2 linked regions of the Oryctolagus cuniculus genome follow. Each later gene encodes a partner of the first gene's protein in a complex. Links are inferred from orthologs where the notes say so. Each region holds a gene or a part of one and is shown in the gene's direction. Other genes may lie near its edges.

What was found.
Region 2: the proteins of SNAP25 (region 1) and VAMP3 are in contact, whole or in part, in a crystal structure (PDB 5KJ8), measured with the Rattus norvegicus proteins. The link is inferred for Oryctolagus cuniculus from reciprocal best matches to the Homo sapiens genes SNAP25 and VAMP3. Residues at the interface, in NP_112253.1 of Rattus norvegicus: Asp147, Leu150, Glu151, Val153, Ser154, Ile157, Leu160, Arg161, Ala164, Leu165, Met167, Gly168, Ile171, Asp172, Gln174, Asn175, Ile178, Asp179, Ile181, Met182, Ala185, Asp186, Asn188, Lys189, Ile192, Ala195, Asn196, Ala199, Thr200, Met202; in NP_476438.1 of Rattus norvegicus: Ser15, Arg18, Leu19, Gln21, Thr22, Gln25, Val26, Glu28, Val29, Ile32, Met33, Asn36, Lys39, Val40, Glu42, Arg43, Lys46, Leu47, Glu49, Leu50, Arg53, Ala56, Leu57, Gly60, Ala61, Gln63, Phe64, Ser67, Leu71, Lys74.

The regions. Positions count from the first base shown.
Region 1 is NC_091442.1:35,237,559-35,241,203, forward strand, and holds part of SNAP25 (synaptosomal-associated protein 25), read left to right. Parts: intron 1-2,498; coding exon 2,499-2,643; intron 2,644-3,645.
Region 2 is NC_091438.1:159,935,422-159,939,166, reverse strand, and holds the start of VAMP3 (vesicle-associated membrane protein 3), read left to right. Parts: upstream 1-1,028; 5' UTR 1,029-1,181; coding exon 1,182-1,183; intron 1,184-2,960; coding exon 2,961-3,039; intron 3,040-3,745. UniProt on the Homo sapiens protein: SNARE involved in vesicular transport from the late endosomes to the trans-Golgi network.

The DNA.
Region 1 (3,645 bases):
TTGACCATTAGCCAAAGGCCACTGGAAGCCAGAGGGTAGGAGAAAGTGGCTGATATAGCCATGGAGGTCAGCCTTTCAAGGCACAAAGATGGTTAGAGAATTAATTTGTGATGAAAATAGAGAATAATGAGTTTTTTATTTCTTTTGAGATCTAGAAACAAAAACCAACTTAAAGTATTTTAAAACTCTCAAATTAAACATATCAGCTAATTCAGAACTTAGCTCTTAGGAGACCAGAAAGCAGAATAACAACAAAGTATTTCTGGTGGAAAAAAATTATATCTTTTTACAGGCTACTACAGGTTGATTTTCAGGTTTTCCAAAAATATGAAATCCAAAATTTTTGGAGTGCCACAAGTGAAAACTTCAAACCTAATCCCATGTGATGGGATGCAGTCAACACCAAGGAATACAAAAAAATAAAGATAAAATTATCTTCAGACTATGTGTATATGGTATATATGAAATATAACTGAATTTGACAATTAAATGTGGGTCCATTCCTGAAGATATACTATAATGTCTATACAAATATTTCAAAATCCCCCAAAAATTCAAAGTCAGAAACACTTCTCATTCAAACATCTTAGATAAAGGATATTCTGCCTTTACACCAGGACTCACTAGTGGCCAGAGTAGTTACTTGTGTAATTACCTGTTCCTGGGCCACTATTGACCAACCAATAGCTGCCATTTAAGTGATGTGTCACTGCACTGAAGTGTAAGGCATGGAAATGTACCTAGAACCTGACCATTGTCAAGTGTATTCCTGCTTCTGTCTGCTTCCAGGGAAACTGAACCAAGGGTTCTCCAGCCAATGGCTGCATATCAGAGTCTTCTGAGGAAATGTTTTAAAATATTCACACAATTTGTGCAATGCACACCAACTGAATCCGACTCTCTTGAAATAGGATACCAACATCTTTGCTTTTTAAACTTCTCAGATGGTTGCAATCAGAGCCAAGAACCATCAAACTGGAAGCAGATAAAGGGTCTCCAAAAAGTTCATGAAATTTTCATATTATGAAAAAACTATGCATAGGTTTCAAAAAAGTGACACCAAAAATCCATTTTTCCACATTTTTAAATGATTTATTTCTTTGAAAGGCAGAGAGAGAGAGAGAGAGAGAGAGAGTTTCCATCAGCTAGTTCACTCCCCAAATACCCACAGCAACTGGAGCTGGCCTAGTTCACAGGCAAGAGCCAGGAACTCAATCCAAGTCTCGCACATAGGTGGTAGGGGCCCAAGTACTTAGGCCATCCTCTACCTGCTTTGCAGCACATCATGAGAGAGATGGATTGGAAGCAAAGCAGCCAGGACTCAAGCTGGTGCTCCGACACAGAATGCTGGCATCACAAACAGCTTAACCTTCTGTGCCACAGCACCTATCCCTTGACAAAATTTTTAAGTACCTTTATGTACTGAGAAAAATTCTAGAATAAGCCTTTGCCATTTGCAATCAAGTACCTTAACTTTCAAGTTAGATTGTGAAAAAATAGCAAGATAGTAAAGTGCTATGTGAGCCAGCTCCTTCTTCCCCACTCTCACCTGATTCAAACTAAAACAATAATCTTTTATCACAGTTTTCTACTTTGAAATTACTCATTCATATATACTACTTTAAAAAATCATAGCATTAAAATGTGAATGAATAAAATTAATCTTGAATAAGTAAGTCCCTTTGGAGTTCTTAGAAGCAAGCAGGATTAATGGGGCAGACTGTCATTATCATTATTACTCTTCCTGTTGATGTTGGTCCCAAATGGAAAAAGAGAAGAGTAGAAAGGTTTTCTGACTCAACACACTAAACATTTTCTTTCATTCTCAATTTGAATCTTGAAGACTTTGGTTGACATTACAGAAAGAAAAATATAGTTTCTATCTAGTTCAACCTTCGTTTGATGACCTGTAGTACTTCCAACTAATATGATTTTATCCTTAAAAAATAAAAATTTTGGTAAACATGAAGGTGAGAAAGATATGCTGGTAGAAGTGAGAAAAGTAGATAAACCAATCTATTTAAATATACTTTCTTTAAAAATAGAAATTCAGGGGTTCAAAATGCAATTTTTAAAATTACTTCTTTTCCAGTCCAAATGCTGCATTTATTTAGCAAGTTGGCTATACAGAAAGGAAGCAATTATGAAGTTTCTTTTTATGTTCAAAGTTCTGGCTCAATTTACACCAAAAAAAATTCTAAGCTGCTATTCCAGGAAAGCATTTGCCAAACGATGTTCCTCCAGGAACCTCCCTAAATACATACAAACATACACACATATCCTTTTCCTCCTATATGTCCCCCTCCTTTTCCCTAAAAATGAAGCATAAAATTACTTTCTTATGTATGAAAGCTAAACTGTGTTCTTGCTTTGAATAGAGAATAAAGACAGATAAAATAGATGCCTGAAGTTCTACAGACATTCCCTAAGCTTTGTGTCCTGGTTATTCAAGATTTTTCTCACCCTCTCTCTTCTAAAAAATATTACTTGGCTGCCAGGGTAACAAATGATGCACGAGAAAATGAAATGGATGAAAACCTGGAGCAGGTGAGCGGTATCATTGGGAACCTGCGTCACATGGCCCTGGACATGGGCAATGAGATCGATACGCAGAATCGCCAGATTGACAGGATCATGGAGAAGGTGAGCACGTGGCAGTCAGCAGGTGGCTACTGTTGGTCACTACCAAAATAACCAATAGGAAGCATGAAGGGCACAACAGGACCCTCAAACCATGGCATTCCATTCAGGTCTATTGATACTTGGAAATTTCCCCTGTAATTTTCCTAAATGAAAACCCAGGATTCAGCAACAGAACTGGAGTGAAGACAAACAGGTAGAATTTAACCTACTGGCTATTTGTCACAGGCTCCTATATGCCAGGTATTGTACTAGGCGTGGTAAGACATATGAAAATGAGGAAAACACCATTCTTACCCTATGGGAGACAACTAACCATCATATGAATTTATCACCACCAAGACAATCTACAGATAAAATGCTGAAAGGGTTAAATAAGGAAAGATTTCAAGGAGCATGGATTGGAAAAAATCTCAAGAGAAAAGGTGAATTTGAGTAGAGTCTTAAACAATGGAATTTTCAACTGGAGATGGCAAAGCAATTCAATCAGGAAATGAGAGAAAGAACAGTTGGTTTAACAGGCGATGTGTATGTGCTTTGTTGTTAGAAATGCCAAAACATGAATCATAGTTCAAGACCTGGTTTGCATTTCCAGTCCAACAGTTCACATCCTCAAATATCAAAACAGGAAAATTACCACTTGATGAAACTGAGTTCACACACGGACACTAGGCTTAGCTTTAAGACCATCAGTGTCAACAAGAGCCATAAAGAAGAATGGAGAAAGTAGAATGGGAAGAGATGGGGCTGGGGGCTTAAAATTAGAACAGAACAGAAAGAAAAGTCTATGAAGAGACTTAGGGCACCAAAATCTAATATTCTATACCATACAAATCTGACATAATTTCTACTTCCTTGTAGTAATTATGTATCTATAATCTTGTTTTGGCTTCTCTTATGTTGTGTGTTTATTGCCTGGGAGATATTGACGTTCTTATTCTGAGACACTGAATTTCTTGATAATGCTTGGTTCCACTTCAGTAGACACAGGAGGATAGTTTGGAG
Region 2 (3,745 bases), on another chromosome or scaffold:
CTTATTCTGTCTCCTGAAGATTTAATTGCTATTCTCGTTACCCATTCGAAATCAGCTGTACTGTGTGAACGAAATAAAAGACAATAACACGAACCCCCTCTCTGGCTGCACGGTCGCTTCTGGCAGTTCCACACAGTAGTTGGCGCCCAACGGGGGGTCCCTGAGACTTGCATGTAAAACTAGTCTAGATGTCTTCTTTTTTGTAAGTTTTATTTTTGTAATTGTGCATGTAAAGCATCATTGAATCAATGGATCTGTTGAAGAACTCAGCTGCTGGAAACCATGCAAAATGTTTTGAATTGCCCTTAAAATATGGAAAATGTTTTCTGAATGCTTTATATTCTTTCTGCTGTAAATTAAAAATGAAGAAAATTTCCCCATACTATCCGTGTTTTGCTTTAACTTGACCCGTTCCCGGAATCCAAGGGGGTGAGCACGTGCCGGTTCCCAATGCCAACCCGTGATCCCGAACAGCGCTGGGCGGACGCCTTCCTGAGCGAGAGTCAGTCCTGCAGACGCCCAGCTTTGCAGTTGAAGTCCCAAGCCCTGGGCCAGTGTCCCGGCCAGCGGCCGTCCGCGCCGGCACCGTCCCACGCCCGTAGCGGCCCCCGCCGGCTCCTCGAGGCCCCCGGCCCCGCCGGCTGCCGCGTGCCCGGCGCGTGCCCAGCGCGGCCGGCCCGGCCCGACCCCCGACCCCAACCCGGGGCGCGCGCTCGCTCCTTCCTCACGTGACAGACGCGGCCAAGCCGGCACTGCGTTCCCCACTCCCACCTCACACTCCGCCTCGACCCGGGCGCCCCTCAGCGCGGCCGGCGGCGGGCGCTGACAGACACCGGTCACAAACGAAAACACCCGGAAGAACGTACAGAGCCCCGCCCTCGCCCAGACAGTCCCTGTCCCGTACCGCCTGCTCCCCCTGACCGCGTCCCCAGCGGCCAGGCCCCCCCACGCCGCCATTGCCAGTGGCCCGGGGCGGCCGCCACAGGCCCCGCCGACGGCGTTAGGACGCAGACGGCGCCTCGCGCTGGCCCCGCCCACGTGGGCGCCCACTTCCGGCGCGCCCGGCCGCGCCCGATGACGTCATTGCCGCCGCGCCACCCCACCCATCCCCGAGCCTAGGTCCTGGGCTGCGCAGCTCGGAGGACTCTCGCCCCGCCGTCCGCGCCTCCGCCGCTGCCAAAATGTGAGTGACGCGACGGGGCGCGGGGCGGCTTCGGGGCCCGCAGGCGGCGGCCCGCGGCGGGAGCCGTCGCACGGCCCGGTGGCTGCCTGCCGGTCGCCCCTCCGCCGCGGGCCGAGCCCGTGAGGGCGTTGAGTGCGTTCCGAGGCCTGCGGCGGGCAGCGCCCGCGGGAGTGCGGGCCGTGGCAGGGCCTAGCTGTCGCCGCGGCGCCGCCGGCCGTCCCCAGGGCCCTGCCGCCGGCGGGCTTCCGGGAGGAAGTGGCTGCGCCCAGCCCTGCAGCCCGGCCCTGCCCCGCGAGGTCCCCAAGAGCAGCGCCGGCGACCGCGGGGCCGGGAGCGGCGGCCTCGGGACACGGCAGCCTGGCCGGGGCCTTGCTGCTCCTGAGCGAATGCGTTCCTGGGGCTGCGGCCCTGGAGACCGCTGTTTCCAGATTCGGTTGTCCAGCATCGCAGGGCCCCGGCAGTCTCGCCTCCAGCCCCTCGTTGCAACCCCTGCGGGGAAAACCAGCCCAGCGCCCGAGGGGCGCGCCCGTGGGACGTCCCTGGGGAGGCCGCTGTGCTGGTCAGCAGAGCCCCGCGGACCCCCGGAGCCGGTGAATGCCCCCTGGAGTGACTGCTAAACCTCGTGTTGAGGGCATCGGCAGTGTCCCCCCCACCCCAAAGAGTTAGGATCCAAGGAGCCCGCGCGGGGCGTGGGCCCTCTGCGTGCTCTCGCGGACACTCCACGCAGAACAGCGTGGGATCTGCCTTATTCCCCGGCTGCTGACGCGCGGCAGGTTTTAAATAACTGATGTTGTGTGGCGAGGCAGGTGCTCCACGCATTATTATTATTATTATCATTTTTGGACAGGCAGAGTGGACAGTGAGAGAGAGACAGAGAGAAAGGTCTTCCTTTTCCGTTGGTTCACCCTCCAATGGCCGCCGCGGCCGGCGCGCTGCAGCCAGTGCACCGCGCTGATCCGAAGGCAGGAGCCAGGTGCTTCTCCTGGTCTCCCATGGGGTGCAGGGCCCAAGCACCCGTGCCATCCTCCACTGCCTTCCCGGGCCACAGCAGAGAGCTGGCCTGGAAGAGGGACAACCGGGACAGAACCCGGCGCCCCGACCGGGACTAGAACCCGGAGTGCCGGCGCCGCAGGCGGAGGATTAGCCTAGTGAGCCGCGGCGCCAGCACTCCAGGCATTCTTGAACACGGAGGAGAGAATTCTAGGACCCAGGAGCCCGTGGTTTGTCAGGAGAGAGGTGACTGGTGACTGTCCGGCGCCAGCCAAGCCCTAGGGGAGCTCCGGGCCGCAGTGGCCAAGAGAGGGAGACTTGGAGGATGAGTCGGTCGCTGAGAGGATGCGATGCTTCCTCGCCATTCTCGAACATTCCACGGCATCCCCCCCCCCCCCCCCCCGCCCGGTGTTCCTACGCTGTGTCTGTAAATGAGTCGCTATTAGGAGACACCGGAACTCTTATTCCTCTGAAAGCATTGTTGCCGCAGTGGAAGGGCCCGGGGAGTCCTGAGTGCCGAGAGCGGCCTGTGTGTGTGCCCGGCTGGGGGTCGCTGCTGTGTACCAGACTCTACCGAGCCTTCCTCCTGGACTCCGGTCCCTCGGATGTGGGCAAATTGGTAATCTTGGAGGAACTGTTCAGGTCTACAGGCAGGGTTCTCTTTCGCTTTGGTTGTGATGTGAGCGTTGTCCGCACTGGAGTCCTGGGGAATGGGATCGCATCCTAAAGCTGACAGTACTGTATTGGGATTCCTGACCGACTCATGCTGTGCCTTTCCGCGTTCCAGGTCCACGGGTGCACCTGCAGGTTCCAGCGCTGCTGCCGGCAGCAGAAGACTTCAGCAGACGCAGAACCAAGTGGATGAGGTATCGCTCGAAATGCTGGGAACGTAGATTTAAACAAACATGGCAGCGTGCCGAAGATAATTCTGTTTAGAAAAACTCTCGTAAAGGTGTGAATGGAACATCAGTGTTGAGTTATCATAAAGGTAGTGAATCTGCCCTAATCTAAGCCAAAGTCAGACTCTCCGGGAACCTATATAGAATCATGTACATAAAACAGTCTCCCTGAGGGCATGCCCCAAAAGTGTCTTATTAAAAAAAGTAACAGAACTTTAAGGATTAGGTCTAAGATTGCTCATGCCAGGACCAGTCCTTCTGATGGATATACATGTATTTTTAAATCAAAACGCTCTGTCCTTTAGCCTGACCTACACATTACCCAGTCTGAGCAAGTCTCTGTAGAATTCATCTGTGACAGTTGCCCATTGACACACAGAAGGCAGTCTCTGGCAAACTGCAGCTCAACACATCCGTATTTATAGAATTCTTTTTTTTAAAAAAAAGATTTATTTATTTATTTATTTGAAAGTCAGAGTTAATACACAGAGAAGACGAGGCAGAAAGGGAGACAGAAGCCAGGAGCTTCTTCCGGGTCTCCCACATGGGTGCAGAGGCCCAAGCACTTGGGCCATCTTCTGCTGCTTTCCCAGGCCACAGCGGAGAGCTGGATCGGAAGTGGAGCGGCTGGGATACAAACTGGTGCCCTTATGGGATGTTGGCACTGCAGATG